3 linked regions of the Arabidopsis thaliana genome follow. The protein of the gene in region 1 interacts with the protein of each later gene in a pairwise test. Each region holds a gene or a part of one and is shown on either strand. Other genes may lie near its edges.

The links.
Region 2: the proteins of CRK19 (region 1) and AT2G22180 interact in a protein complementation assay, tested with the Arabidopsis thaliana proteins (one large-scale study listed by BioGRID).
Region 3: the proteins of CRK19 (region 1) and AT1G31720 interact in a protein complementation assay, tested with the Arabidopsis thaliana proteins (one large-scale study listed by BioGRID).

The regions. Positions count from the first base shown.
Region 1 is NC_003075.7:12,166,385-12,178,702, reverse strand, and holds CRK19 (cysteine-rich RLK (RECEPTOR-like protein kinase) 19), read right to left. Parts: upstream 7,687-12,318; 5' UTR 7,571-7,686; coding exon 6,805-7,570; intron 6,714-6,804; coding exon 6,576-6,713; intron 6,485-6,575; coding exon 6,363-6,484; intron 6,073-6,362; coding exon 5,862-6,072; intron 5,779-5,861; coding exon 5,541-5,778; intron 5,458-5,540; coding exon 5,304-5,457; intron 5,218-5,303; coding exon 4,924-5,217; coding exon of another isoform or gene 4,909-4,923; exon of another isoform or gene 4,763-4,908; coding exon 4,742-4,762; coding exon of another isoform or gene 4,658-4,741; 3' UTR 4,526-4,657; downstream 1-4,525. Other genes in the region: CRK21 (cysteine-rich RLK (RECEPTOR-like protein kinase) 21), read left to right, coding at 1-116, 209-362, 461-793; CRK20 (cysteine-rich RLK (RECEPTOR-like protein kinase) 20), read right to left, coding at 1,232-1,549, 1,637-1,790, 1,874-2,111, 2,196-2,406, 2,723-2,850, 2,922-3,101, 3,192-3,963; AT4G23271 (uncharacterized protein), read left to right, coding at 4,658-4,759; CRK18 (cysteine-rich RLK (RECEPTOR-like protein kinase) 18), read left to right, coding at 8,648-9,485, 9,600-9,725, 9,833-9,933, 10,019-10,229, 10,304-10,541, 10,633-10,786, 10,864-11,175; EMB1290 (cysteine-rich receptor-like protein kinase 17), read left to right, coding at 11,677-12,318.
Region 2 is NC_003071.7:9,422,034-9,432,513, forward strand, and holds AT2G22180 (hydroxyproline-rich glycoprotein family protein), read left to right. Parts: upstream 1-6,709; 5' UTR 6,710-6,935; coding exon 6,936-7,811; 3' UTR 7,812-8,108; downstream 8,109-10,480. Other genes in the region: AT2G22155 (ECA1 gametogenesis family protein), read left to right, coding at 1,836-2,141; AT2G22160 (Cysteine proteinases superfamily protein), read right to left, coding at 3,110-3,427; PLAT2 (Lipase/lipooxygenase, PLAT/LH2 family protein), read right to left, coding at 4,977-5,453, 5,635-5,709.
Region 3 is NC_003070.9:11,347,960-11,358,168, forward strand, and holds AT1G31720 (chitin synthase, putative (DUF1218)), read left to right. Parts: upstream 1-8,142; 5' UTR 8,143-8,209; coding exon 8,210-8,335; intron 8,336-8,412; coding exon 8,413-8,633; intron 8,634-8,763; coding exon 8,764-9,001; 3' UTR 9,002-9,122; downstream 9,123-10,209. Other genes in the region: AT1G31710 (Copper amine oxidase family protein), read left to right, coding at 1,896-2,686, 5,324-5,708, 5,801-5,914, 6,504-7,051, 7,173-7,380. UniProt on the Arabidopsis thaliana protein: Together with MWL2, contributes to secondary cell wall biology, specifically lignin biosynthesis.

The sequences.
Region 1 (12,318 bases):
GCCAGCAACATTCTCTTAGATGCCGAGATGAATCCAAAAATAGCTGATTTTGGTCTGGCTAGGAATTTCAGAGTTAATCAAACCGAAGCAAATACAGGAAGAGTAGTTGGCACATTGTAAGTAATTGGCATTTAGATATAATATGAAACTTGATGGCCCTTTGAGAGTAGGTGATAAAACTAAAATTGATATGCGGTGTATTTTGCAGCGGTTACATGCCACCTGAGTATGTGGCAAATGGACAGTTCTCAACGAAATCTGATGTGTATAGCTTTGGAGTATTAATTCTGGAGATTATTGGTGGCAAGAAGAATAGTAGCTTCCATCAGATAGATGGTTCAGTAAGCAACTTGGTCACACATGTAAGTTTTAAAACGCCAATGCAATCACAAATATTTTTTACTCCTTTTAACTGTGATCATGACTTTGAACATTAGTTTCTTGACAAATGAATAAATAGGTTTGGAGGCTTAGGAATAATGGATCGTTGTTGGAACTTGTAGATCCAGCCATTGGGGAGAATTATGATAAAGATGAAGTCATTAGATGCATTCACATTGGGTTATTATGCGTTCAAGAAAATCCTGACGATCGTCCAAGCATGTCCACAATATTTCGAATGCTAACTAATGTTTCAATTACTCTGCCTGTGCCTCAACCACCTGGATTTTTCTTCAGGGAAAGATCCGAGCCGAACCCATTAGCCGAGAGATTACTGCCTGGTCCGTCTACTAGCATGTCTTTTACTTGTTCGGTAGATGATGCATCGATCACGAGTGTTAGACCTCGTTAAAATTGGGCTAATGATTAACATGAATATTTTTCATAAGTCTAAAAATATGTTATTCTCTCTCTTTCAAAATACATTGAATTTGGTATTAGTTACTTTTATTTATTTAAGTTTGGTGTTAACTTTAGTACTTTAAGCCAGAATTTTCTTTGAAAATCTAAACGACCTTATTTTGAGAATTCTTTAAGAAAGTAAGTCTTGAAACAATTCGAACAAGCTTAAGCTTAGTTTCAGCTTCTTATTCTTCCTTAGTAATTTCTCTTGATCCCGTGGCAAGTAGATTTATTCCTTTATTGTACGTATTGATGATGCCTCGATCACTTAGATGAGTCCTTGTTAAAGGGAACCAAACTTCAAATCCGACTATCATTTTCTTATTTTCTGGACAAAAAGTCTAAACTCATATATTACAGATGTTTAAAATTTTGAATAGTTTTGTCTTTAACGAGGAGCTACACTAGTAATGGAAGCTTCGTCGATTGAAAAGAGGTCAGATGTATCCATAGATGGACATGCTCTTTCTGCTTGTTCCTGCTTGCTTCGTAAGAAAAACCCAGGTGGTCTAGGCACGGCGAGAGCGATCGAGCTAGTAGTGAGCATTTGGACGATTGCAGACATAGTTGGACGATCATTAGCATCTTCTTGAACACATAGTAAAGCGATATGGATGCACCTAGTAATTTCGCTTGTTTGATAATTATCTCCAAATGACGGATCCACAAGCTCTGATGGCGACCCATTGCTCCATAGTCTCCAAGTCTGTTCAACATTTTAATAACTTAGGCTTTGGTCATTGTTTGAATAAAGCAAAAAAACATTAGAAGTTTTAAAGCTTTATATACTCACATATGTAACCAAGTTGCTAATGCTACCATCCATTTGATCGAGGCTACTGTTCTTCATGCCGCTTACAATCTCAAGAACCAAGACCCCAAAACTATACACATCTGATTTCATGGAGAACTTGCCGTACATAGCATACTCGGGAGCCATATAACCACTGCCACAATACTAAAAATGTTGAGTCCATAGAAGCATAGTACAGTCTATAGAGAGGCAATACATTTTAAGAGAAAAACTTACTAGGTTCCCACAACTCTTCTCGTATTGGCTTCTGTTTGGTCCATCCCAAAAATCCTCGCCATTCCAAAATCTGCAACTTTTGGGTTCATATCAGCGTCCAAGAGGATGTTGCCCGCTTTGAGGTCCCGGTGTATAATTGTGAGTCGTGAATCTTGATGAAGATAAAGAATTCCTCTAGCAATTCCTCCAATGATCTTGTACCGTCTTGACCAGTCTAGCTGCCCTTGCATCGTAGGGTCTGCACATGCGTTTTTAAAATGTTAAAAACAAAGAATGGCATGCAATTTGAAGAATCTTAGGCTAAGTATCGAATTTAACAGACCAAAAAGAAAGTAATCGAGGCTTTTGTTTGGTACAAACTCGTAGACAAGTATCTTTTCTTCTCCTTCCAAACAATAACCAAGCAGTTTTACTAAATTTCTATGTTGGAGCTTTGCAACAACAACAACTTCGTTTTCAAACTCTTTTTCACCTTGTCCTGAATTCTTCGATAGTCTCTTCACCGCAACTTGTACTCCACTAGGAAATGTACCCTACACGAGTAATTTATTTTAGATAACCATAAGTATGAGATTAATCATACAAATGAAGAAGTACTCAAATGCAATTATGTAAAAATTTAGAAATGAATAATAATAATTATTAATTAAGGACTAGAGTTTGTTTTGTTCCGCAACTCTTTAAAATTGGATTTGAAAACAGGGGAAAAACAGAGTACTTTGGAAACAGGGGAAAAACATGTTAGAACGTTTCCAACATTCAAAACTCACTACTTTATCTTAGTGTATATTATTCAATTTCTACTTGTAGATAAATAGCTACAGTAATAGCCTTGTGCAATAATAATACCTTGTAAACTTCGCCGAAACCACCTTGACCAAGCTTGTTAATCGGCAAAAAGATATCCGTTGCTGCCACAATTGCCTTAAAATCAAACTGAAGTGAGCCTGCAGTCGTAATATCATCCCCATCTGTAGCTACAACTTAAACAGTTTAATTCATTATAAGAAGAATACATCAGAGACTATTCATTATAAGAGTATTCTACTTTCAGCAGGTGGTTCCGTGACTTCCGTCTCTTTTCTCTTTACTTTAAACAACGGTATCGCTCCAATCGTCTTTTTTCTCTTAGCGCGGCGGACACTAAAAAAAGCTACGAATAGAAGAAAAAGGACAGTGATTGGAACAACAACAGCAATAACTATGACAGAGGAGTTTCCGCCTTTTCCTGTATCATAATAACAACTTTGTGTTAGCAAAATTCTTATATGAAAGTTGTGTTGAAAATATGTAGTCAAAGGAAAGCGACTGTTCAGACCAGGTCGTGGTGATGAATCTTGAGGTGTACCAACGTTGAATTCGTTGTAAAACTCGTAATTATCGTATCTTGACGTACAGCTCGGCAAAAAAGTTCTTCCCCCAATTTTGTCATAGGTTACTTGATTGATGCTTTGTTGTAGGCAGTCTAAGCAGTCTTGTTCCGTAAGGTCAGGAGTGCACTGAACCATTCCGTACAAACTCTGTAATGCATTTAAATCAAATTTTGTCACAGCGAATCTTTTGATACTCCTCGCGGCTTCAATGGCAGCTAAGTTCATGGGGTTCAAGACCAAATCTCTGAACCGATCTTGTTTGACTGATATAGGATTCCTAGCGTTCTGCATGAACACTCCTCCATCGGTGTTTAGAGTGGATAGTATATTCCGGTTAGAGTATCTGAGCATACACTGCTCGTAATAGAACACGGCTTCTCTCTCATTTGGACACCGACTTAACGATTCGTTAACAGACAAGGCGATGCAGCTACGGCAAACTTCAGGTGAGACGTTTCCGCGGCAGAGGAAAAGTCCGGTGACCATGTCGGGGGCTTGTCCCGCAGTGGCGTTTTGGAATCCGGTGGAGTAAGAGGCGTTACGAGAAGAGAGAGAGGACAAAAGGGTTTTGAGATTGGTGGAGTAAGTGCTGTTACTTGAGTAAGTTGTCGTGATAGAACAATTATGATATAGGTAAAAAGGATTTTGAGCAGAAGCTGTGAAGCTAGTGATGAATGAGAAAAGGAAAAGGAAAATGAAACAGATCAGAGAAGACATGCTTCCTTTTCCTTGATTTGGAGTTTTAGATCATGAATCTCTGTATGTATATTAACGCGAAATTGAGGATGGTTCATACTCTTCTGACGGCTATAAGTCAATCAAAGAAAGTCATGGTAAACGCCGGTTTTATTTAATTTTAGTTTGTAATGTCAAAACAATAGCTAGTTCTTTCAAACAAAGAGAGAAGTTTAAGTTACTATTTATAGCCTTACCAAAAGAAAAGAGTTAACGATTTCTGTATAACGATAAATTATTTGTCAGTAATTTGCTCTTTTTAAAAAAACTTTAATTCCTCGTCAAAACTCATTGATTTACACATTTCCAAGTTTAATTTTCTCTCTTTTTCTCTCTAAATTTGCTAATCCTATATACATATTTTTTTCGTGGAGTTGTCATATTTATCATTTATGAGAGCATGAAAAATCAGCGTGAGGAGAGTACTTCAAAGTTCAAAAATAGTCTTGTCTTTACGTTATAATTGAAGCTTCTCCCAAAGAAATTCTTACAGAACTGAAAAATAGCATTTTAAGTTTACAACATAAAATTTAACTCAATGTGCTTCTTATTTGTGGAGAAAAATCAAATCTAGCTTGATCATTATTGATGTACGAAATCAAACAAGTAACAAACGAGATCTCAAGGGAAGTTTAAAGAATCACTATTTTATAGATGGGTGTAGATCGCTTCTTGGATGAGTAGTTTGAGGACGACCGTCAAGATTCTTAATCGTCCTCCAGTGACTTTTCTAGCTCATATTCCTTGTTCAGTTGTTGTTCTATTGTTGATGCTTTGACCACTGAAATGAATACTTGTTAATTAAAGAATTTATAAAGAAAATAAACAATAAAACCAGTTTAACTTACATGAATTTTTGTTCACTGTCGATCTTAATAGTCTAAAATCATATATCACAAATGTTTAGATTAACGAATAGTTTTGTCTTCAACGAGGAGTTACACGAGTAATGGAAGCTTCGTCGACTGAACAATGCGTAGATGAATCAATAGATGGACCTGCTTGTTCCTGCTTGCTTCGGAAGAAAAATCCAGGTGGTCTAGGCTCAGCGAGAGCGATCAAGCTAGTAGTGAGCATTTGAACTATCGATGACATGGTTGGACGATCTTCAGCATCTTCCTGAACACATAGTAAAGCGATATGGATGCACCTAGTAATTTCGCTTGTTTGATAATTATCTCCAAATGACGGATCTACAAGCTCTGATGGCGACCCATTGCTCCATAGTCTCCAAGTCTATTGAACATTTTAATAATTTAGACTTTGGTCACGTTTTTAAATAAAGCAAAAAGAAATTAGAAGTTTTAAGGCTTTATACTCACATATGTAACCAAGTTGCCAACACTTTCATCCATTTGATAGAGACTACTATTCTTCATGCCGCTTATAATCTCAAGTACTAAGACGCCAAAACTGTACACATCTGATTTCATGGAGAATTGGCCGTACATCGCATACTCGGGAGACATGTATCCACTGCCATAATTCTTATTTTTTTTAGTTGATTGAAACGTATTACGGTCTATTGATGAAAAAAAAGTGGCAAGAGCAATACTTACTAAGTTCCAACTACTCTTCTTGTCATGGCTTCTGTTTGGTCCATCCCAAATATTCTCGCCATTCCAAAATCTGCAATTTTAGGATTCATATCATCATCCAAGAGGATGTTCCCTGCTTTGAGGTCTCGATGTATAATTGTGAGTCGTGAATCTTGATGAAGATAAAGAATTCCTCTAGCAATTCCTCCTATGATCTTGTACCTTCTTGTCCAGTCTAGCTTCATTTTCATCGTAGAGTCTGTACAGCGTATTTCAAATGTTAAGAACAAAGAATGGCATACAATTTGAAGATATCTTGGCTACGTACTAAATTTAACTGACCAAAGAGGAAGTGATCAAGGCTCTTGTTGGGCACAAACTCGTAGACAAGTATTTTTTCTTCTCCTTCCAAACAATAACCAAGCAGCTTTACCAAATTTCTATGTTGGAGCTTTGCAACAACAACAACTTCGTTTTCAAACTCTTTTTCACCTTGTCCTGATGTCTTCGATAGTCTCTTCACCGCAACTTGTAGTCCACTACTCAATGTACCCTACACGAGTAATTTATTTTAAGATAACCATAAGTATATAGGAATTGTCGGTAAGATTAATCATGAAAATGAAGTACTCAAAATGCAAGTATACAAGTAGAAGTTAGTATTTGTTACAAATATAGGATGATAATTAACGACTAGAGTTTCTTTGTTCCGCAACAACCTTTGCAAGTACAAGGTTGCTGCACTCATCCCATACATCTCAACTTTCGAAGTAATGTGTGTGAGATTTGATTTGGAAACAGGGGAAAAACAGAGTACATTGCTCTGTTCAATGGTAATAATACCTTGTAAACTTCGCCGAAACCACCTTGACCTAGCTTGTTAATTGGCAAAAAGCAATTCGTTGCTGCCTCAATTGCCTTAAAATCAAACTGAAGTGATCCTGCAGTCGTAATATCATTCCCATCTGGAAAAGAAAACTTCAACAGCTGAATTAAGTAAGAGCACAACAGACTATTCATTCTATGAGGAGATATGTTTATCACTGGTGTGCTTACCTTCAGCTACTGGTTCCTTCTCATTAAGCGTCCTCTTATTTTTAGCCCTGACACTAAAAACAGCTACTAATAGAAGAAAAAGTACAGTGATTGGAACAACAACTGCAATAATTATGACAGAGGAGTTTCCACCTTTTCCTGTATCAACAACAGCAAGAATTTTTTAAGCAAAATTCTTGTATGAAACTTGTGTTGAAATATGTAGTCAAAGGAAAGGGACTGTTCATACCAGGACGTGGTGATGAATCTTGAGGTGTTCCAACATTAGATTCGTTGTAAAACGCGTAATTATCGTATCTTGAAGCACAGCTCGGCAGAAGAATCCTTCCCCCAATTTTGTCATAGGTTACTTGATTGATGCCTATTTTCAGACAGTCTAAGCAGTCTTGTTCCCTAAGATCAGGAGTGCACCGAACCATTCCGTACAAACTCTGGGATGCATTTAAATCAATTTTTCTCACAGCCCATTTTTTGAAACTCCTGGCGGCTTCAACGGCGGCTAAGTTCATGGGGGTCAAGACCAAATCTCTGAACTGATCTTGTTTGACTGATAGAGGATTCCTAGCGCTCTGCATGAACATTCCTCCATCGGTGTTTAGAGTGGCTACTATATTCCTGTTAGAGTATCTGAGCAGACACTGCTCGTAATAGAACACGCCTTCTTTATCTTTTGGACACCGAGTCAACGTTTCGTTTACGGCAAAGGTGACGCAGCTACGGCAAACTTCCGACGAGACGTCGACGCGGCAGAGGAAAAGTCCGGTGACCCTGTCGGGGGCCTGTCCCGCCGTGGCGGTTTGGAATCCGGTGGAGTAAGAAGAAGCGTTAAGGGAAGAGAGAGAGGACAAAAGGGTTTTGAGATTGGTGGAGTAAGTGCTGTTACTTGAGAAAGTCGTCGTGACTGAACAATTATGATATAGGTAGAAAGTATTTTGAGCAGAAGCTGTGATGGATGAGAAAAGGAAAAGGAAGATGAAAGAGATCAGAGAAGACATGGTTCCTTTTCCTCGATCTGGGTTTCAGATCATGTAGCTCTCAATTTTTGAAACTAGAACTATATTTTTCCCTTTTTTCTATGAGACCAACAAGTCTTAGTAAACGCCGGTTTTATTTTATTTTATTTTGTAATGTCAAACTTGTATCGCGCAAAATAATAACTATTATTAAAAAAAGACAAAGAGAGAGTAGTTACGATTTCTAAATTACAATAAACTATTTGTCAGGAATTAAAGGAAAAAAAACAGCCTAACTTAGTTGGATATGATAAGATATTATTTGTCAGAAAAGAATCTTTTCTCTCTCTCTCTCAATTTTCTAATACAAGATATTATTTTTATATTTTTATTTTTTCGTGGACATCAGAAATTCAGAATTATGATAGCATGAAAAATCAGCGTGAGGAGAGTACCGCAAATATTGTCTTAAATTGTATTTACGCTGTAATTTAAGCTTCTTAAAAAAAAAAAAGTTTTAAACCATTTTCAACTCTATTTTAAAAGAATTGTATTCTAATGATCATCTCCAAAATAAAGTTTTTTCAAAAATAAAGGAAAATATAGAAGTAACCATCGAAGATGTCTTTACGTAACCGAAAAATAGCATTTTACACTTTACATCACAAAATTAAAGTCACTATGCTTCTTATTTGTGGAGAAAACAAATCGAATCTAGCTTGATCATTTTTGCGTGTTTTGAGATGACAATTTTTTCTTTCTGCGTGTTTTGACTTTTTAGATATGAGTCATTAAATGCATTCACATCCTCCAAGCATGTCTACTAGCAGGTCTTTTCCTTGTTCTGTACGTAGATGATGCATCGATCACGGTTTTTAGCTCTCGTTGAAATTGAGGCTAATGATTAACATGTATATTCTTTCATAAGCCCCAAAACCTAATATCAAAGATTGACTCACATAGTCCAAGTCTAGCACAAAAATTTCAAAGTTGTCAATTTCTTATTAATGTGCATGGTTATTCAAATGGAAATTTTAAACTGATGATTAAATTTCTAAGAACCACAAATAGTCAAATACTAACTACACCACCCACACATTATCTCAAGAAAAAAGAAAAATGGCAACGAAGAGTTGTGAATTAGTCCTCTGTTTCTTCGTCTTTTTCGTCATAAGCTTCAGTGCAATTTCTGTTTCTGCACAAACTTGTGACAATACTACTGGGACTTTCATACCCAATAGTCCTTATGATAAGAACCGCCGACTCATCCTCTCTACTCTAGCTTCTAACGTCACGGCTCAGGAGGGCTACTTCATCGGTTCGATTGGGATTGCTCCTGACCAAGTCTTTGCCACCGGGATGTGCGCTCCAGGTTCTGAGCGTGATGTTTGCTCTCTCTGTATCAGGTCCACATCAGAGAGTTTACTACAAAGCTGTCTGGACCAGGCAGATGCTTTCTTCTGGTCAGGTGAAGAAACCCTTTGCCTTGTTCGCTACGCTAACCGCCCCTTCTCTGGATTGCTCGTCATGGATCCACTAGGAGCGATATTCAACACAGGAGAACTCAATACGAATCAGACTGTGTTTGATATCGAGTGGAATAATTTAACTTCTAGTATGATCGCCGGAATAACTTCTTCTTCATCAGGGGGGAACAATTCGTCTAAGTACTACTCAGACGATATAGCTCTTGTGCCGGATTTTAAGAACATATCAGCGTTGATGCAATGCACACCAGACGTTTCGTCAGAGGATTGTAACACTTGCTTACGGCAAAACGTTGTCGACTATGATAATTGTTGCCGTGGGCACCAAGGCGGCGTTATGTCAAGGCCAAACTGCTTTTTCCGATGGGAAGTGTATCCCTTCTCTGGTGCTATTGATCAGATTAATTTACCAAAGTCACCGCCGCCTTCAGTTACATCCCCGTCTCCTATAGCCAACATAACCAAGAATGGAAAGTCCTTGTTGGAACATTTTCAGAAAATTGTCTTGTTTTGTTTCTGTTTGTTTTTTTTTCTTTTTTTGGTTTTTGTGTATTTATGCTTTTGATGAGTTGTGTTTTGTGCAGATAGTAGAATATCAGGAGGAAAAATCGCAGCAATAGTTGTTGTTACTGTTGTTACAATAATATTGGTTGTTTTAGGCTTTGTTATTTCCAATAGAAGAAAGCAAAAGCAAGAAATGGATCTTCCAAGTGAGTTTTCTTTGTTTGTTTGTTAAAACCTTGATTGTTTTCGGTCATGAGACCTTATACTTTGAAGTGGTACTTTTTCACGAGCTTATTTATGGTTTCAAATGAAGCGGAATCTGTTCAATTTGATTTAAAGACAATTGAATCGGCGACAAGCAACTTTTCCGAACGTAACAAGCTTGGTAAAGGTGGATTCGGTGAAGTTTACAAGGTAATATATAGGATCTTTGTTGTCCATCTAGTTTGCTTCTTTTGTGGAGAATAGGCTATGTGCTTAATTTGTTAGTATTTTCAAGGGTATGCTCATGAATGGCACTGAAATTGCGGTGAAGAGATTGTCGAAAACATCAGGACAAGGTGAAGTAGAGTTCAAGAACGAGGTTGTTGTTGTTGCAAAGCTTCAACACATAAATCTTGTTAGACTTCTCGGGTTTTCGCTACAAGGAGAAGAGAAGTTACTCGTCTATGAGTTTGTTTCAAACAAAAGCCTCGATTATTTCCTCTTTGGTATGTAATATTTAACTAAAAACAGTTTCCTCTTTGGTATGTACGTTTTAACTCATACATGTATAAGTATGCAGATCCTACGAAGAGAAATCAGTTGGACTGGACAATGCGACGCAATATCATCGGTGGCATTACTCGAGGGATTTTATATCTTCATCAAGATTCGCGGCTGAAGATCATACATCGTGACCTCAAAGCGAGTAACATTCTCTTAGATGCGGATATGAATCCAAAAATCGCTGATTTCGGAATGGCAAGGATCTTTGGAGTGGACCAAACTGTTGCCAATACAGGAAGAGTGGTTGGAACCTTGTAAGTATCATCTTAAAATGGACTTTGAGATTTTTGATCATTAGTTTAAGAGACCTTTTTTGACTTCCAGTTTATAACCTCTATTTTTCAGTGGTTACATGTCTCCTGAGTATGTGACACATGGCCAATTCTCAATGAAATCAGACGTCTATAGTTTTGGAGTATTGATTCTTGAGATCATTAGTGGCAAAAAGAATAGCAGCTTCTACCAAATGGATGGCTTAGTTAACAATTTAGTCACATATGTGAGTCCCAAACTTTATTTGACTCTCTTAAAAGTTAAAACACTGATCATAGTTCTGAATGTGTATATATTCTACAGGTCTGGAAACTTTGGGAGAACAAATCATTGCATGAGCTCTTAGATCCCTTTATCAACCAAGATTTCACAAGCGAGGAAGTCATTAGATACATTCATATTGGACTGTTATGTGTTCAAGAAAATCCTGCAGATCGACCAACAATGTCTACGATTCACCAAATGCTCACAAACAGCTCAATCACTCTGCCTGTGCCTCTGCCTCCTGGATTTTTCTTTAGGAACGGACCAGGATCGAACCCGGGTCAGTCGAACAGCAAGTCTTTTGCTTGTTCTGTAGATGAAGCAACAATCACGGACGTTAATCCTCGTTGAAAATTCAGCATTTGGTTTTTTCTTGTTTCCACAAACGTCTATCATTTATTTATTGTCCGTTTATGAAAAAGTTTACAAAGGGTCATTTTTTCAGGTTGAAGATTCAAATTTGAAGTTTCTATATTAGTCAAGCATGTCTACAATAGCTCGAGTGCTGACTATTATAATTTATAGTAATTGTAGGACCGATCATTAGTGTTAGTCCTCGTTGAAAGTTAGGCCAATCTAAACCCTTTATCAAAAAAGAAAAATAAGCTTTGGCCAATGTTGACTTTATATTCTTTTATAAGGGTAAAACCGTAATAATAAATATTGACTTAGAGAATCCAACTACGTCTTCCCCTTAAAATCCAAAGTAGTCAATGTCTGGTTAATGAGGATGGGTCATTCCGTCGTTCGAGTAGAAAATTCAGAAGTTATGGGCCATATTAATGATAAGAACCACTAGTAGTAACCAACAACAACACCAGTCACACATTTTTCTAAAGAAACAAAAAGAAAATGGCAAAGACGAGTTGTGAAATAATCCTCTGTTTCTTCTTCTTCATTTTAAGCTTCAGGGTCATTTCTGTTTCTGCACAACAAACTTGTGACAACACTGCTGGTAGTTTCAAACCCAATAGTACTTATGACAACAACCGTCGTCTCCTCCTCTCTACCTTCGCCTCTAACGTCACGGCTCAGAACGGCTACTTCAATGGTTCGTTCGGGCTTGGTACAGACAGAGTCTACGCCATGGGGATGTGCGCTCCAGGTGCTGAACCTGATGTTTGCTCCAACTGTATTAAGAACACAGCAGAGGGTTTACTACAGATCTGTCTAAACCAGACGGACGGTTTCTCATGGTCTGGTGAAGAAACCCTTTGCCTTGTTCGTTACTCTAACAAATCCTTCTCCGGGCTACTTGGCTTGGAGCCGTCTAATGATTTCTTCAATGTAAACGAAATAAGAAAAGAAGACCAGAAGGAATTTGATAGTGTGTTTGATGAGTTAATGTTTCGTACAATCCAAGGAGCATCTTCATCGGTGAGAAACAATTCTAATTCGTTATCATTGTCTGGTAAATATTATGCAAAGGATGTAGCTCCTGAACCGGTTTACGGGAACATATCGGTGGTGATGCAATGCACTCCAGATGTTTCT
Region 2 (10,480 bases), on another chromosome or scaffold:
GAATTGCCCTTTACAAAACCATCTCCATTTGGATATACCTTCAATACCCTATATCATTAACATTACTTATTAACACATTGACGTAAAGATACCGTAGTGTTTGTGTATATATCTATATGTTATGGAGAGAAGAGAGAGATTCACCAGCTACTTCCTCCAGAAGAAAAAAGGGCGGATGTGTAAGAGTCACTATAGAGAGTTGAAAATCTGTTGAGTTTCCATGTGTAAATGGGATCTTTGATGTTTTCTTCAAAGGAGAAAACTTCCCATTCATTCAAGGTTTGAGCAACGAAGATGTCAATTCCAAACACACACTGTTCTCCATCGAAAATGTATCCGGTTGTCAGCGTTGAGAACACCGATGTGGGTTGAAATTACGGCACTCCGTATTCAGGTTTGAATAAATGAAACCTCCTTGCCTCAGTTTGTACAACAACATTCATTTATAATAGATGTTCAGTTAAGTACTGGACCCAAAAGATAGTTACCATGCATGATACTTTATTTTTTCTGATTGATCAGAACGTTTGGTTAATAGTAAATGTGACATAGCATATCATTATTGTCCAAACATAGCAATAAACTGGAAATGAAGATCTTTTTTTTTTTGACAGCCTCGAAATGAAAATCTGCTAGCACTGAAACAACACTTTTCTAACCGGGTGGGGGGCAATAGGTTACATTACATACCTTGGTAGGTATAGTATTTGTCGTAGATTCTGTTGTAGACGAAGAACTTGACCTCTGCGTACACATCCTTTGGATTGGAGATGAGAGTTGAGTTATCGATTCTTGCGTAAAGCGAAACGTATCCAGTAGCGCCATCTTGTTTGTTTGCCTGGCTGCTCTATTCCGACCATTTATATGTGAATTTTTGTTATTTTTTGCCTAAGTGATTGAATAAAGCAACAATTATATATATATATATATATATATAAAAGATTTTCTTTGATGAAGATCATGGTTTGCTTTCCTTAATTAGCCAGCAGGTTTGATCCACGTTTGCCGACTAATTTTCTTCTTCCGTGACTGACATCTAACATCTATGGTGGATCCTCCTTGTTTAGTTGTAATTCGAGATGGGTTTTGTTTGTATAGATCCAACACGTCGTCAATATAGAAAATTACACCTGAAGAAACATTAAACTTAAATATCAAAGAGTATTTTTTTGTAACATAACAACTAGTTTTAAGTTCTCATTACGTATATAACTAAAAGATGTGCATGGAACAAATAAGATTTAAATGTAAATTTTTTTGCAGTCTAAACTTAAATTTAACAATTCTTATGTTGATCATCTTCAAATTAAAATGTTTTTCTTGTTTTGAAGTTCTGAAAAATTGATTAATTATTAACATTTTATGAAAAATAGTTGATGAGGTGATATTGTATATCTAGGATTATATATAAATAAATCTAGTCATCATTAGTAATTCTCTAATTTATTTGGCACAAAATTTACAAAAACGTTCAGGTGGCACTCTCTAGTTGGCGAAATGCTTAATTACTTTGGTAATATATATATGATACGTAAATGTATTTTGTAGTGAGTGTATTATATGTCCACGTACACAAAATTAAGTGACATTGTTGAAAAGGCTATCTTTTATAAAGGAAATGATCATGAATTTGAATGGCATATATACCAAGATATATGGAACTCTATTATCATATCTGCTAGGTGAAATGAGCAAACGAAAATCTACCAATTTGAATAAACTCATATCTCTAGTCATTCTACCAAAACAAAGTATAAAAAGCTCCACCATCATTAACATATTACAAAAAAAAAACTAAACAATTTTTTGGGTTTTTTAATTTAATTATAGAAAAAATGGAATCTAAGACGATGAAGATTATAATTTTTCTTATGGTTTTTGTTTTTGCAATGACTTGGTCTCCTTCGAGTGCTCAACCAACGGATCCGGAGGGGTGTTTTAAGGCGTTTAAAAGCACATCAAGAGGATGTCTCGAAAGCATAAAAGGAATTTTACATGGACATGTCCATGGGATCAAGAAAGAATGTTGTGAAACCGTTAGTATAGTTTCTGATATGTGTTGGCCAATAATTTTCCCAAGCATGCCTTACATTCGTTTTGTATTAAAGGGTATTTGTACTATTAAATACTCTTTGCATTGAGGCATTTGAGGATTCGTTATGTTTAATAAGTGAGAATAAAAGACCATCTATGATAATAAAATATGAACAATTCTTACATTCACCTCTTCTCTAATAACCAATTAAAAGTTGACATGTCATCTATTTAAAATAACAAATAAAATAAATCATTAATAATTCAAAACTGAATTAATTGTAAAGCCCACTAAGTCTCTTCCTAAATCCAAACTAACGAAAATAAAACTAAACCCTAATTCTCACTTTATAAGGCATTAACTCTAACCTTATTTATAGTTTTTCTCTATTCTTCTTCCCACACATACAAAAAAGATTAGTTTTATCGGAGGAAGGATATCATTATCATTGTTTCCACACAATTTGAATATAAGTCAAAATACTTATTTATATGTGCATCAAAATTTCTTAGTTTTTTTTTTTATTTTGGTGATTTTGTTGTACTAAAGTTCAAATAATGGCATCTGTGGAAAGAAAATACTAAGGATAAATAAGGTAAATATTAATTTAATTAATTTATTTAAATTCTAAAAAGGAAAATACATTATTAATTAAGAAAATGACCAATCAAAATAAACATATAAGATTTTGATATCTAACTTAGCATATTAATTTATTATTAATCATATATTTTTCTTTTCATCTTTACATGATTCTATTTTTGTGAAACAAATAAATCTTCATATAAAGAAAAGCTAGATTTTTTTCTGCATATGTCATTATTTGAATTTTGAAAAACGAATCGAAATTGTTCAATCTATGATAGAAAACTTGTAATGGGTCAAAAATTCAGACTTGAGTAATATATTTGTTTTAAACAAAAATAAATTTAACAAAAACTCCGACTGAGTAACGAGTTATAATTTGAATATTTTATATACTGCAATAAACTTTTTAATAATTTACTTTAGAACATTTAAAGATAGTCTTACTTTACTTGATATTTTTAAATAATATCATTATTAAAACGTTTCTTAGGACTTCTTACTACACGTTGGTCCTTGATCTTTGACATTGGTGACGGCTCCTTTCTCTCTCCAATCCAAGGAATCTGGTGCTTGAGTCATATTCTCGTAGAAGAACGGTTTGGAGTCGAGTATTTTCTTGTGATCACTCATATCAAAACATGTGTGAGCGTTGACAAACTCGACGTCGGTCAAGTTTGCAAACTTGTTGAGCTTGAGCTTGTACGGTTTTCTCTCCTTGTTGGTTTTGACAATATATTCTGCATTTTTTTTAAATACATCGAAACTACTTTCTGTTTGGTGGATGGGCACAAGATAGTGGCCCATCCACCTCTTGTACAACTTTTCCAGACCCTCATCACTTTTTAGCTTTGTCTCATTGTATTTGTTCCATGAGCTTTTAGCTCTAGAATGAGAAGAGTAAACATAAGAATAATTAAGATATGCTTAGTCATTTTGTTTGATTTCTTCTTTTTGATTGTTTTTAGTGCGAGAGTTAAGTAGACAAACGAACACATTCATATATACTTGGTGGATCAAACTTTTTTCTTAATTGCACTGAATGTGTGCATGTGATCGTTAACACAAAAATAGACAATTATATAGTTAATGCTTTAACCTTAAATTAGTTTTTGTCTCAACGAAATTATTAGCCTATCATCTTTTTACGTACCAGTTAAGTCCAAAGAGGTATGAGAAATGAGATGAACATGCGATCATTAACTGTTTCGATGTATTTGAAGATTTTTATGATGAAACAATGTTTTCTCGTCTTTGAAAGCAATATCTTCAAAGTCTTACGCGGCAATTCAAATAAGTCTGTTATTACTTTGTTGCATCGAATCATGTGATCGTTAGTTTAAAGGATTATCACTAGGTTCACTACTTTATCATTTTCTTCATTGTAGTTTATATGACATTTAATTTTCTGTCAATTAATATGATTGAATAAAACCATTTTAATCTGTTTCTTCTAATTTTTATGAGAATCATAAATTCTTTCTTTTTAGACAGTTACTATTATTAAGAAAGAAAAAAACATGTTCTAGGGGGATGGAGATTAGACATAAATATTTTGACCTTAACGAAGTCTTTGTAAATAAATATTATACAATCAGTAATTATCTTTTAAAGGCATATTGTCTATTTATTTTATGTCTAGCTTGTATATTGCTTTGTGGTTCTATAGATTATGTGTGCAGGGATGATCTTTTTCAATTTTCATTGAGGAACTTATTGCTCACACCTTCTTTTATAGATTTAAAAGACGATTAGGAGCATAGTGAGATTTATATGGTGCCTTAGGAGGAATTTTAAAGTCATTCATTTGATAATGGTTTTCAGTTATTAGTATGACCCAAAGAAATGTTCCGTTTCAACCAAATGTCACTTAATTAGGAGGTTTAGGCCAATACCAATTAATGTCGTTGATGTTTCTTACAAAATTGTAAGTTTCTTGTTGACTTTTTGAACATGCACAAAAATGATTAAAATTGTGAAGATCCACTCTGTATTAAATGTTTAAAATTACATCGAAAAATGTGAAAAGGGCCCATCTTTTATACTATTTGGCAAAGTTTTGATTAATCATAAGGTTGTAGCTTTGAACGTTTATTTGTGAAAATAAAACGAAACAAAGAAACTATATCAACCAGTAATTATCTTTTTTTCTTTTTAATATGATCAGTAATTATCTTTTAATTTCATCACACGAAAAACTTAATAATGTTTGATAAAAATCTCACAAACAACAAAGAACGGAACTTTTATTCGATCGAATCATTTTCATTATTGCCATCACACGTTCACAAGACAACAAAGAACAACTCTCCAAGTTACACACACACATACACATTTGACATTTCATTCACTACTCTCACACGATCCAAGAGAGAGTCTTCCGGATCTCAGACCCGACCCGACCGACACTTTCCCTAAGCGAAACTGGACAGTTATTCCGAACAGCACTGAGCTCATACGGCGATGTATCGGACGCAAGCCATTGCTCAACATCAAAGCTTTGGTACGAGCACTTTGCATGAACTCCGGCTGTCGTGACTTCCACGTAGTTAACATACCAACCGTGGTGGTCACCGGAGCCGTCAGAGGTCAGATTTAATGAACAGACTGGGCTCGGAAGACATGGTGCTTTCCCACTGAAAATGTCGAGATTACCCCTCTCGTAGTAGTTGTAACCTGGTCCCATTAAACCACCCCATGCTTCTAGGTTTCGGATCCCGATGTAGTCTCCGTATTTGTCGTAGACTCTAGCGCTTATGATCGAATCTGTACCGGCTTTGAAGGTTGATCCGGTTCTAAGGAAGAATGTGTAGACACAATCTGCTTCATCGTCCTGTGAAATCAAGAAAGTCATTTTTTTAAATGGGAAGAAACAGAAGTTTGTAGTCTAATAGTTTAAACTAATGTCATTGATGTTGTGTCATTATATACATATTCAAATCTGGTTAATGTGTGTGTCTAGTTCTAGACAAAATCATATATGAGAGGAAGCAAGTCAGATTTGGAAAACTTACGGCTAATGCGACAGCGGAGACGGTGGCGATGACGAGGAGGAGTGAGAGGAAGAGGACGTCACGGCGAGGCATCATCGGTGATATGGATGTATAAGAAAGAGAGATCTAGTCTATGGAAATATTAATAGAAATGTTGAAAATGCTAAAGTATATGAGAGTTTAGATTTCAATGATTTAATTATCGTCTGTTTTGGGAGTTGCGTATGAAGATGACGTGGTCGTTTTTGGTCCGTTGGAATGAGTAAGAAATAAGAATAAAAATACTTAAGGATCCTATAAGCACGTCGTTAACTCGGCGGACAGGTCGGCATGGGTTGTCAGATTTCGAAAAAAATTGCATATTTTTTTTTGTCACAAACGCAAATCTTCGTGAGATACAATACAAATGCACTTCATTTTTCGCCAATTAGAATGTAATGTAACAGTTTCCAGTGTAATGCTCGCAACATAACATGTTTCACGTGGATTGGGGCCGGGGAAGAATTAGAGAAACATTAATTTTTGTTTTTGCTTTTTGAAAGAAAACTTTCGACCATATGAAGGTAAGATTTCCTTTAATTTCCTTGATATTTTCATGTACATATGTTTGATTTATAAATGAAAATTAAGTGATTGTGTGTTTTTCAAAGAAAGAAAAATGAAATAAATTTTGGATAGTATTGTCAGCGAAGCAGCAACAAGGCCCACAAACATAATTTTGAATGGCCGGTTGCTGCGGATTAATGTGTGTAAATACATACATTCCGTTCATGTCAATCCCAACGTATATTCGTATATATGCATTTTTCGCTTTCTAAAGAAACAGAAGTTGCAAGAGAATTGAAATAAAAAACACTTTAATGAAAATTTGGTCCAGAAATACCACCCAAAAATGGTTTTAGTTCGAAACGTACAAAATAAAATAAGACTCGTTCATGATAAACATTACCAATATGTGCTAACCTTTTTAAGATTTTACTCATGTATGTCTTATATGCATATATAATTTATGTTAGAAAATCGATATCTTGTAAACAAAAAGTAACAACTTCGTTGATCATCATCAAATGCCATAATACTATATTATATGAGTTCTGTAATATAGTTTTCTAAATAACAGAAAAAGGGAAATTTAAGGTGAGCTGGCTAACTCTAAATAGCAAAATCTTCTCAAAACCAACCAAAAGTTTGAGTCATGCAACAACAACCACTTACTTTTCCCATGCAAACCCTAATTTTCGCATCCTCTCTTAATTCTCTCTCTTTCGTCTTCTCTGTAGACCAATCTCCACCACACATCTCGTAACTCCCACCTTTCTCCGATGGAGGGGCCACGGCGTCCTCCTTCCGCCACCGCCCCTGACTCTGACGATGACAAACCCGATGATCCTCCGTCCGTTTGGCACCGTCCAACCTCTAGCCTCCCCGCATTGCCATCTTTAGATCCTCCATCGCACGGTTCACACCATTGGCGTAATCATTCTCTTAATCTGTCTCCACTCCCAACGACATCTTCTCCGCCTCTTCCTCCTCCGGATTCAATCCCTGAGTTAGAGACGTACGTTGTCCAAGTCCCGAGAGATCAAGTCTATTGGACCCCTCCTCCGGAACATGCAAAATACGTCGAGAAACGCAGCAAGAACCCGGAGAAAAACAAAAAGAAAGGGTGTTCTAAACGTCTTTTGTGGTTCTTCATTATCTTGGTCATTTTCGGATTCTTACTCGGTGCAATCATTCTCATCCTCCATTTCGCTTTCAACCCCACTCTTCCTGTTTTCGCGGTCGAGAGATTGACCGTAAATCCTAGTAATTTTGAGGTCACATTAAGAGCCGAGAATCCAACGTCTAACATGGGAGTACGCTACATGATGGAAAAGAACGGGGTCGTTTCCTTAACGTACAAGAATAAGAGCCTGGGGAGCGGGAAATTTCCGGGGTTGTCCCAGGCCGCATCTGGATCCGACAAGGTCAATGTGAAGCTTAATGGGTCGACCAAGAACGCAGTTGTACAACCTCGTGGATCGAAGCAACCGGTTGTTCTGATGCTGAATATGGAGCTGAAGGCTGAGTATGAAGCAGGGCCGGTCAAACGGAACAAGGAAGTGGTGGTGACTTGTGATGTTAAGGTTAAGGGACTATTAGATGCGAAGAAGGTTGAGATTGTGTCGGAGAATTGTGAGAGTGAGTTCAAGAACTGACACTCGCTCTATATATATTTTATATATAACATGATTGTGTCGTTAGAGTTAACAATGTGCTTAATTAATTCATACTTTCTATGTAATGTTCAATTGTTCATTTTTTTTCCCTAATGTCTTTGTTTTTACTCTATATTGTTGAGCGACAAAAGAAAACGTGAACAAGAAGAACACAATAGAGTGAGCGTCTTTTTTTTTTTTTAAATGTACCTTTGCTTTTACAAATAAATTTAGTTTAGCCCAGATTACAAATAAACAGACTAGTCAGAACTTCTTAAAAACAGAAGATATAATTGGGCCTAAATGCAAAAGTAACATTTCACCTCCTAAGATTTTTCCTAGACCAAGTGTGTACAAGCAATACTCCGAAAACTTGATGGGATCATTCCCTCTTTTTTTTTTCTTTTTTTTTTTATCATTCTCTTTTTGATAAGATCATTCTCATTTCTCAGTGTTGTTAGTTTTATTATAGAAATGTAACTTACATTTTGGGAATAAGTGCCGTCTGTACATTTCTATTAGTTTAACTTTCTCTTTTTCTGTTGGAATGTAAAATTTAGCTTCAACAAAGATATTTATATTTTAATTAATAGAGAATTTCAAAAGTTTGAAAGAAAAGATAGACTTTTAAAAGAATGAAGATTGAAAAGAAACAAATAGACTTTTAGAAGAATGGAAGTTGAAAAGAAACAATCTTGATCAGTACTTCTTCCTTCGAGCCAACATCTAATGAGGTCGTGAAGACAAGTCATATTAAAATATAGGTGCGAGGAGACCCGATCTGTTATTTTGTCGATCACTAGAGCTGACGGTTTACTGTTTCGTACGGTAAAAATTGAATATAGTCATTACACTATCGCTCACAACAAACATAAGAGATAGAAGCTGAGAATTTTGATAGTGCCATTGACGAGGTGGGGTTGCATATGCATCCAATCAGGAGTGAGATGCGAGCTTAGTAGAGGACCACCAACTTAAGGCCACGTTTTGAAGGAGAAAGGACTCATAAAAATATATGATCTTTGGCTTCGTCGAATTCGCCATAGTCCATAGAGGTACTTGTCTGCGAATGCAACTACCCGTTTAGAGGCGAATGTGTTAATAAACGGAAATGCTTTGCGAGAATCTGGCCTCACCATCTTATTGTTCAATAAGTGGAATGTATTAATAAGAAAATACAAATTATGAAAGTTTATACAAAAATATTTTTATATTTCACCGCAGATTTCAAAATGCAATGTTCTTTTTTTTTTGTGCGCTAGTTATTTTAAATATACTTGATTATTTTAAAAAATCGAATATACATAAAGAATCATTTATTCTATACCCCTACCATCTACCAAGAAAAGGTTGAGTGGTCATTTTCGCGAAACCACAGTGGAGAAACAATAATTGTGTATAAAGATATTCCACTAGAAAGTGAAACAAATAGGTCCAATTATTTATTAAGGGCACCTTTGGACCATTTTCACAGTCCTAATTATGACAACAATATTGTTATCTTCTAGCAAGAATATAAAAAGACAAATTTTATAGTTTATTATAAAATGAATTCTTCATTTCGGGTAAAGGTTGGATATATAAAATTGTATAGAAACCAGTAATAATAGTTAGGATATCAAAGAACTATTTGATGTATGATGTTTTGCAAGACACTATATTCATTTATTCTATTTTTTTTTGTGAGCGTACCAAACAAATCAAATTAAATACTATTTTATGTATGATGTTTTGCAAGAGACTATATCATTCTAAACTAACTAGCTAATATTGAATTTCACACATTTTGGGATGAGCGCAGTATCCAACTCTATTTAATGCTTTAAAATTTAAACATTTGCAATCTTGATGTAAAATACAAACATTCTTTTATCATATAATTCCACATGGTCGGTTGGTTGGAACGCACGCCTAGGCCTCACTCTTATTTGTGTTTCTCTCTTTTCCTTCACACCACTACATTCGAAAGTTCCGATACAAAAGAAAATTTCCTTTTTTGTTACTTTAAATTTTGGTGTCTAAAAAAGTTGACTATCCAATCAAAAGACATTTAGAGTTTGCCAAAAGATTTTTGTTTTTAGTCCACCTTTTAGACATGTCACAGAAAATTATTATTCAAGTGAAGGGATTGGTGATCAATGTTTTTGCTCCCTATAATTTGGGCATCTAAGTCACATGCATCCCCATGTTACCAAGTAGTTTGGAACATCTCACAGATCAACATATACATTCATTTACTGAGTCAATACATTTAAAATTACATATAGTTTTAGGCTTTCTATGGCACTAGATAATTGAGTCAAATCAAGTTTTGTTAGAACCGTCTGATTTACTTGAATCTTCTCTCTCTATATATATAAACAAATATAGAAAAATAAAGAACGGAAGAGACATTAGACCATCCTTATTGCAAGTCTCTTACTATAAATCTTAGGTATAATATATAATCAAAATAATATGTGAATAGTTTAGAAAAAGTCCTTAGCTAAGAGATAAAAGAAGGTTTAAGAACTTCAAACCATTACAAAAACTCTTAGCTATAATTTTTTCAATAATACAATTCATAAAATAGTTAAGAGATAAAATTAAGAGTCTACCATTAAGGTTGCTCTTAGGTGATTGGTTTCTCATTGAATACATTAAGGATCCTTCCATTTGATGTTATTGAC
Region 3 (10,209 bases), on another chromosome or scaffold:
ATAATTTCAGAAGCATGATATATATATGAGAAAATTGACTAATAGGACTACACTTTTAAGTTTTGAACATAGAAATATTTGTGGTAATAAAAAGTAAAGCAAAATCAGTATCGTAATCTCTCTTGCGTTCATTTTCGACATGCACGTAATCAAATGTCCGCAAGTTATTTTATATAAAAGAAAAAACTAACAAAATTATACGGGCAAGTTCTATGTAAAGGCCACTCTTCGAAGATGTTCATACCTTACATGGACCCGAGTGGTGATTGGAATTTCATTACCTACCTTGATTGAAGCTGTGATTAGTCTGCATGTCCCCTTAGATTATTTAGCAAGTGCAGTTTTTAATGGATGGAAAATTTATTATAGGTCAAGAGCAATGTGGGATATAGGTTTTGACCCTTATGCATAATTCGGCCCAAACAAAGATTGGCTGAGTTAACATGCTACTTACACAGGAATTTGGCCCAACTTAACAACACTCGTGTCCAGCGGAAAAACAGTTTGACCCACAATCTTGGTTCGGTCCGAAGAGAAGGGCAAAAAGTAACCATGTAAAAGGAGACAAAATGAACCCTATGTTAAGCTCATAGCCTATATATAAGTAGCCAAAAATATTATTTGTAACAATATCAGACCATAAGTACCGAAAGAATTAAAGAGAGAATTGCTGCCTAGCCTAGACTATAGTTTTTTTTTTTTTTTCCGGTACTGCATGTTGTTTTGCTGATCGGTAGATTTTTTTTTTTTACTCTTTTCGGTTATTCAATTCCAACTTAAACCAGATCCCATTGAACAAACACAAGAGTAAACCGAAATCTCCAAAAAGGGATTATAACCCGGAATTGCACAAGAGGAAAAATATGGAATCACTATACTGTACATTTAACCTCCTCGGCTCTGGTCAACAAAATGAACCATATACCGGCCCAGTAGATTCGGCCCACACAGATACATGTTTTCATTTACTCCAAAGTTCAAAGGCAACCCGCACCAATACATATGTATTGATGCATTGTGCATGTATAATATCCCAAATTTTACTCCAAAGCAACATACATTTTGTCAAACATAAATCACTTCTATTATATTTGCATCAATAGAGCAAGACTTATAGTTTAGTAATTTGTATAGCAACGTCGTTTAGACACACGGAAATATCGAACTGGTAGCAAGAGAAGATATCATTTGAGATTTCGTAGATTATGTGTTAGGTAGGTAGGGTAAGACATAAGTCAAAGAACTACCATATCATATTATATGTGTAAGTTCGTGTAGTGAATTATGGCCCAAGTGAATTATTACATATAGCTATGCTTGTCCAGAGAAAATTAAAACAGTATATAACATGGGTCTACATGTCCAAAGAAAATTATTACTGTATATAATATGGCTCTTTTCTCCATAACAAACTATTACAGATTAAACTATATCACCATACGTTATATCCCTCTGATACTAATAGTTTGATGTTTTGTGGTTTTCACACATATTAAGAATTCAATCATTGTTTAATCAATTTAACTTTGTTTTTCATGTTAAATATTTTTAGTAATTATCAACCAGTAGTTGTGTAAGAAAGTTCATGATTTCTAATAATTGTATCTTGAAGTTTACAATTTACAAATATAAATCAATAAAAATAAAGAAAAATAGAAGAAAATCAATCTTTGTAGAACAAAGGAAATATAAATATTAGTTTCCTAATTATTCTTTTCGTCGAATGGTTTAATAGAGGTCGCTTCTTTGATTTCTACTTAAACGTCTATTTCTCACGTGCAAAAAGAATATATATTAATTTAATACCATCAAGGCATTTTTTTGCCTATAAAAATTTGAAGTTAAACATAAACCAAATCCATTAAAGCAAACAATAATACCTCACAAAGAACAATATGGCTCCACTTCACTTCACCATTCTCATCCTTTTCTCTTTCGTTATCGTAGTCTCATCCTCAAGCTTTACTCCACCGCGTCACCCATTTGATCCCTTAACCGAGACCGAACTCAAACTCGTCCGAACCATCATCAACAAGTCGTACCCCGTTGGTCCGAATCATAAGTTCACTTTCCAATACGTTGGTCTCAACGAACCCAACAAGTCTCTAGTCTTGTCTTGGTACTCATCACCGAATCATACCATCAAACCACCACCACGCCAAGCGTTCGTCATTGCTCGAGACAACGGAAAGACCAGAGAGATAGTCCTTGACTTTTCCTCTCGTGCCATCGTCTCGGACAAAATTCACGTAGGAAATGGTTACCCTATGCTCTCAAACGACGAGCAAGAAGCATCCACCGAGCTTGTTGTCAAGTTCAAGCCGTTTATTGACTCGGTCGCGAAACGTGGCTTAAACGTTTCGGAGATCGTGTTCACGACGTCAACGATTGGATGGTACGGTGAGACTAAGGCCGAGGCGGAGCGAGTTATTAGATTGATGCCGTTTTATCTTGACGGCACCGTTAATATGTATCTTAGACCTATTGAAGGAATGACGATAATCGTTAATCTTGATGAGATGAAGGTATCGGAGTTTAAGGACAGGTCAGTGGTTACTATGCCCATAGCTAACGGAACGGAGTACCGTATCTCGAAGCTTAACCCACCCTTTGGACCGACGCTTCATAACGCCGTCCTTTTGCAGCCGGATGGTCCGGGCTTCAAGGTCGATGGACACATCGTGAGGTAAATGATTAACAAACCCAAAAAATGACTAATATTTATGGCTATATCTCTTCCTTTGGCTCCATACGAATTATAGATCAGATTTTGCAGACAACATGCTATGCATGCTATATATGGAAATTATATTTTTAAAGTTTATCAGTGGCAAATAGCCAAATGGCATTTTTTCCTTTGGCTCCTTACGCATTATAGATCAGATTTTGCAGACAGCAATTATGCATGCTATATATAGAAATTATATTTTAAAAGTTTGTCAGTGCAAATGGCCGAATAGTAGTAACAGTGGTTTGTGTCTTTGTGAGGTAAAATGATTAACAATTATAGGTTGCTAAAGTAATGATTTGCTATGGATTTCTTATTGAATCATGAATCAAGGTTTAACATGCTTATATAGAGAGAGATAGAACTAAAGAATTGGAAAAGATAATGATAATGGAAACTAAACATATCTCTCATATTATGAGAATATTCTAAACCGCCGAATATAGGTCTCTCTGTCTCTCTATTTTCTATTAGCTCCATACGCCTGATATATGTAGATCAAATTTTGCTAAATCTGATAATTAAATCTATAAACTGTGTCGGTGTAAATAGTTCTCAAAACCTGATATATTTTCTTTTTTGCTGTTTTACGAAAATATTCTCTCAAGTGAAAGAAATCTCAAAAGTCGTCCTCACCAACCCACTTTTATTCAGCCTATACATTTCTTGAGTTTAGTCTATCCAGGACACATATGGGATGGATATCTTAAATTTCAAGAATTAGGAGAAACAATTACCTGGATCTGGATTAATTAATTTAATATACTCTCAACTTTTGAAATAAAGTTTATGTTTGGTGATAGTTTAAAGTATCACTGTACTTATAACTAGATAAGGCCCGCCTATTTAGGCGGGTGTATCCGAAATTTTCAAATATTCGAATGGGTCTAAACTTGAAAACCCGAAAAACTCGAACCCGAACCCGAATAGGTATCCAAACATATCTCAAATATAAGTATAAGTATAACTAATATATACTTATACATAGAAAATATTAGGATTTTTTTGATATTTTAGTTATTTTTGTGTATTTTTAGATATATTCGAGCAAAACTACTCGTGTTGTTTTGGGAGTTTTTGAAATTTTCAAGTAATTTAATAGATTTGCACACACAATTTGATATTTCAATATATAAATAAACTCGAACCCGAACCCAAACCGAACCCGACCCGAAATCTTAAATTACCCGAACGGATCCTAAACTTCTAAACTCGAAAACCCAAACCCGAAATACCCGACCCGAATACCCAAACGCCTAGGGCTAATAATTAATAGAAAAACAGAAATCCACAAAAATATTTAGAAACCAAACATTGTTGAAAATATATTTCTATATATGCCGTAATCTTGTAAGTTAATTTTAACATCATGCAAATATTAAATGAGTTAAAATTAATAAATGAAAATAATTGAAAAGTTAAATCCTATAAGCTAAGCTATTTTTCTCAAAATGTTCTATTTTCACTTATGATTACATGAGTTAAAGACAAATTTGTTATTTTCCTTTTATTGAATAAATGTTAATTGTTTATAAATATATAGACATATAAATTAGTATATGTAAATTTGTTTACTTTTTAAGATTTTCTATTCTTTTTAGAAAATAAAAAAGTTAAATTTTAAATGACACATGTAAACATCTGATCGTTTGACTTGACACATGGCACGATCCTATGAGTTAGCAAATTTGAAAACCATACTTTATATAATAAGATAACTCTTAAACATATAGTTTTTCTAAAATATATAATTAAAATTAAATCCGAACTAAATCTAGATATCTTAATCTTAAAATTAAATTATCCAGATTTGAAACTCCACCTACCATAAATATTTTAAAAACTAAATCTCAAATCTTGTTTTGCCTACCCCTAATATCAGTAGTGTTTACTAGTAAGCAAAAGCAAAGCCACCAATATTGCTTCACCAACAAAATTTTAACCCAGTTTGCCACTATTATTATAAGTAATCTACTAGTCTCTCATTTTTCATGTGTATGCTTATTCCGTTAATCCTTCATCTTTAAAAATACAAAAACAGAACAACTGTTGGTTTGCTTTTGCTACTTTCATTATAACCATCATATTCTTGAAGTTCGGTGTGTCGAGGACCCATGCACAATAAGTCTGTCCCAGTCTTTTCTATTTTGAAATATATATGTATCATATGTGTGGTTCTAATATTTTCGTGGATACAAAATATTATTCCTCAGATCCCTACACAGATACTTTAGGTTTCAAAATTTGGCATCATATTCTTGTTTATTCATTTATTCACACTCAAAGGTTTTCGTAATACTTTCACGGTTTTATAATATAAGACTTATTTTATCACTAAAATTAATTAAACAGACACTATTTCAATCTATGATGGGTATGGGGTCCTATTTTTGTATTTTCCAATAATGGCATTTTAACGTTTTATAAAAAATCTTATCTTTGGAATCGTTTTGTCTCGGTAAAATCTACAATGCGTTCATTGTATATATATTGCTAAAGAAACATGCATGCAAATTAATACCTATTATATCTGAATTTTTGGAAAGTAAACATGTATATACCACTTACTAATTTCATACATATGGTGATGAGTAGGTGGGCAAATTGGGAATTTCACATATCGTTCGATGTTCGAGCTGGCATCGTCATATCTCTCGCATCCCTTTTCGACACGGACGTGAACAAATACCGGCAAGTCCTATATAAAGGTCACTTATCGGAAATGTTCATACCTTACATGGACCCAAGTGATGATTGGTATTTCATTACTTATCTTGATTGTGGCGATTTTGGCTGCGGTCAATGCGCCGTATCTCTTCAACCGTACACTGATTGTCCAGCGGGTGCAGTTTTTATGGATGGTATTTTTGCTGGTCAAGATGGAACTCCCGCAAAAATCCCAAAAGTTATGTGCATTTTTGAAAAATATGCTGGAGATATCATGTGGCGACATACAGAAGCTGAAATTCCAAACTTAGAAGTAAGAAAACATATAGTTGTTGTTATGTTATGACTTATGAACAATCACTTATATAAAATACATGATTTGTATTTGCATATATAATGATGCAGATTACGGAGGTTAGACCGGACGTAAGTCTTGTAGCCCGGATTGTGACGACCGTGGGAAACTATGACTACATAGTTGATTATGAGTTCAAGCCTAGTGGTTCCATCAAAATGGGGGTAAAACCGTCTCTTTTCAACTTTGTCTTTAATATAGTATATACATTTTCATTTTTAATAATATGATATAAGCAGCAACATGAATCACGTGAAATCGTGAATCATGAATCATGATTAAACGATGACAAAAAGAATTCAGATTAATGATAAGGACTAATGACAGAAAATCAAATCTTGGTTGGACAACCATATTCTCAACTTTGCTTTGTTAATTAGATATTGGTCTGGCCATTTGAATCATTCAATTTGATTTGGCTGTTTCATATATATATATATTTTTTTTTTTGGGTTCATTCGATGTTAAATTATCTAAACCAACTAGAATCAAATTTGGTTTGGCTCGGTTTTGATAAATTTCGGTTGGTTTGATTTATATATTTTTTTAAAAATCAAATTACATACAATTTTGAATAAAGTTAAATTATGTTTTAGTGTATATTTTTACTAAAGTTGGTTTATTCGATTCGGTTTTCGTTTGTTTTATATAGATGAGAAGAAATTATCAATATTGATAAAAAGATAAATTATTGTCAATTTAGTTTTTGTTCGATCGGTTCTAAATCTAATGATACCAATTTAATATGTGCAGGTCGGCTTAACCGGTGTTTTAGAAGTGAAACCGGTAGAATATATTCACACATCCGAAATCAAACTAGGGGAAGACATACACGGGACAATTGTCGCCGACAACACCGTCGGTGTTAACCACGACCATTTCGTGACATTCCGTCTTCATCTTGACATCGACGGTACCGAAAATTCCTTTGTTCGTAACGAACTTGTGACCACGAGGTCTCCAAAATCTGTTAACACACCGAGAAAAACCTATTGGACAACGAAGCCAAAGACGGCCAAGACCGAGGCAGAGGCTCGGGTGAAACTAGGTTTGAAGGCGGAGGAGTTAGTTGTGGTTAACCCTAACCGAAAGACGAAGCATGGCAATGAGGTTGGATACCGTTTACTTCATGGATCCGCTGCAGGCCCACTCCTGGCCCAAGATGATTTCCCGCAGATTCGAGCTGCATTCACCAACTATAACGTGTGGATCACGCCGTATAACAGGTCAGAGGTTTGGGCAGGTGGTTTGTACGCTGACAGGAGCCAAGGCGACGATACGTTGGCAGTGTGGTCTCAAAGGTACTTTATATTTCTGATAAAATTTGACTATATTTCGTCCGTTGCATGATTAGAATAATTAATCGTATTATCAATGCTATAAGTTGGAGATTTGTAGAATTAACATATAAGTATATGACAGGAATAGAAAAATAGAGAAGGAAGATATAGTGATGTGGTACACCGTCGGTTTCCACCATGTTCCTAGCCAGGAAGATTACCCGACGATGCCTACTTTATCCGGTGGCTTTGAGCTCCGACCGACCAACTTTTTCGAGCGAAACCCTGTCCTCAAGACCAAACCCGTCAAAGTTACCACCGCTCGAAAGTGCACTCCTAAAAACGATTAATAAACAGCTTAATCATATCATTGATGAATTTGTTCTACTTGATGATGGACTGTAACGATTCGAGAAATAATGATGTGGTTTTAAATAAGTTGGTTTTGTTTGTATAATCATCATGTCTTTGTTGATCAATTAATTTTTCGTTTTCTCTATTTTCGCGTGATTAAAACTCGAGTGCATTCATAATGTGGTTATAAAAAAACAAGTGAGATTCTAGTTAACGAAATTCAACAACTAAAAGTGAATACTTCCCCCCCCCCCCCCCCCCCCCCCCCACAAATTTCAAGTATGTTTTACATCTATGCATGTTTCAGTTTATAGAGATTCTTGATTTCTAAACTTGAATTTCTATTGTTATGTTCAATTTGTTCATTCTTTTGTTTCTAGTCTCCACTCAAATTTTTCATATTACTACAATTGTTTTTATTATAGAAAAAGAATCGTTACGTGTTGTATTAATTACGGAAAACAAATTAGCATTCATTCTTTTGAGAATACGACATCATAAAGTTTTACCGTTTCGGTGAAAATAAATAATTAATCACTACTTAAAAGAATAAAAATAATTATGCAACAATTTTTCTATTTTCTTCCAAATTAATATGGTGTTAAATGATATGGTTATAATCACAAATAGAGAAAAAGAAAAACAAATACTTGATTAACACAAAAGCAAAGTATAGAACCCAACAACCCAACCATAAGAACAAGGAACAAATCCACTCTTTACAAACATATATACGTAAGCAAACACAAATAGTTATTCTCTGTAATCGTGGAGTAGGTCTCAAGCAATCTCGTCTTCCCTCTAAAGGGATTTAAGAACAAATCAATGGAAATTCAAAAACAAGATAACCGGGATGGGCGACCCAAATCTTTTCTCTTTTTCATGTTCATCTTTCTCTTTGGTCTCGCGGCGTTCTTCCTATGCCTTTCGGCCGAGTTTCAAAAGGCTAAGGTAAATAAATTTTCAAGTGACTTGCTGCTCAAGTTATGCATTTTACGTTCTATAAGATAACATGATTCGGGGTTGAGGCTTTGCTAAGAGCTCAGGTTTTCTTAAAGGGGAAAGATCTGAAATGGGATGGAGAATCGTGTTATTTACCAGAAAATCGTGCTTTCGGGCTAGGAATTGCTGCTTTGGTCTGTGTTTCCGTTGCTCAGATCGTCGGAAACGTTGTGATCTGTAGAGGTTTCACGAAAACGGACAAAACCAGAACGACTATATTTTGTATAATTCTTCTGTTGTTTTCTTGGTAAGAAGAAGATGAGTTTACTAACAAAAAACAAATAAGTTTGAAATAGCTTGTAATTTGGTGATCTATAGTGTTGTCACCGGATTAAATTTGCAAGTACATAATTATATAATACATGAATTTATTGCAGGGTTAATTTTGCCGTTGCGGTTACGTTGATAAGCGTTGGTGCAAGCATGAATAGAGAGCAGATATACGGCAAAGGGTGGCTAAACCGTGAGTGTTACCTTGTGAAAGACGGTGTGTTCGCAGCGTCTGGCTTTCTCTCCGTTACGACGATGGCCGCTATTCTCGGAGCGTTTGCGTTTAAAGTCAAACCATCATTACAGGTCGAGAATCATGACAAACGTCACACTCAAAATGTGTAGTAGTTTGAAAATTAAGTAGAAATTTTATCAAATGGAAATGCATGCAAAATAGCAAAATCTTTACAATCATATGGATATATTCAAGTCAAAGAATCATATAATTAAAAATATATAGAAGACTATATAGATCTGCAATTAGTTCATTATATGCTGTTATTATTATATACAAATACGAACGCAATTTATAATGGCATGATACCGTTTGCATTTAACATTTTAATCCGTATATCAAAGTGTATAATTGCAAATTCTATTTTATCATTTTTTGTTTTGAAAATGATGGGTTTTTTTTAAATAATCAAATAGGTTCTAAAGTTGAAAATCCGCGTTTAGAAATAAACAGCGTTTTCAGTTTTGAGGCCTGCTGAAACGTGTTTGGCGAGGATAGTGAGATGAAGAGAGATTGATGGTGATAGTGTTGCTAGTTGATGGAGATTGTTCATCAAAGTAATTCTCAGAAAACTGATTAAAGGTAAAAACGACGTCACGCCAAACTCTTCGTGTTTAAGAAACAACATCGTTAGTTAGGCCAAATCCATTTCAGCGTAATGTAGAAACATGTTCAAGCTATAAGCAACCTAGCTATAGTACATTAACCAGTTTGTCCATTAAAAAAAGCTATAGTACAACCAGTATATGATAACAAAGCCACAATATTTAATCAAGCAAGTAATGTTTCTTGAGCCATACGCAACCTAGATATAGTACACCCAGTCATTCATTATGCATTTCAGCGATTTGGTTTGCTCACACGATACATTCAATAATTATTGTCATTCATTATGCATTGGTGATTAATTACCCGAAAGTTGATGAGAGAAAATGAGCAAAGGAACCTTAAACATACCGAGATCGAACCAACTATTAGAGATAAGTATTTCACAAAATAAAATGATTCTACGATAAAACTTGCCAAACTACATGATATTTACCCGTAGATGGATCAAACGAGAGTTTTGTTTTCTTTTTTCTTTTGTTAACATGCCAAAATTCGATCGGGTCTAAAGTTTTCATGTACATTCCCGAAATGGACCACAAAAGAGTGCAAAAATGTTAATGAGCCCAAACTATTGGTCTCCATATAATGTCTTGATAATGTCAAGAGTCACCTAAAATAACACATACATAAGAGTCATGCAATGAAAAAGTCTATGCATTTGCAGAGAGACTTATCAAATCAAGCAGTTTAAATATTCTTTGAATCTATA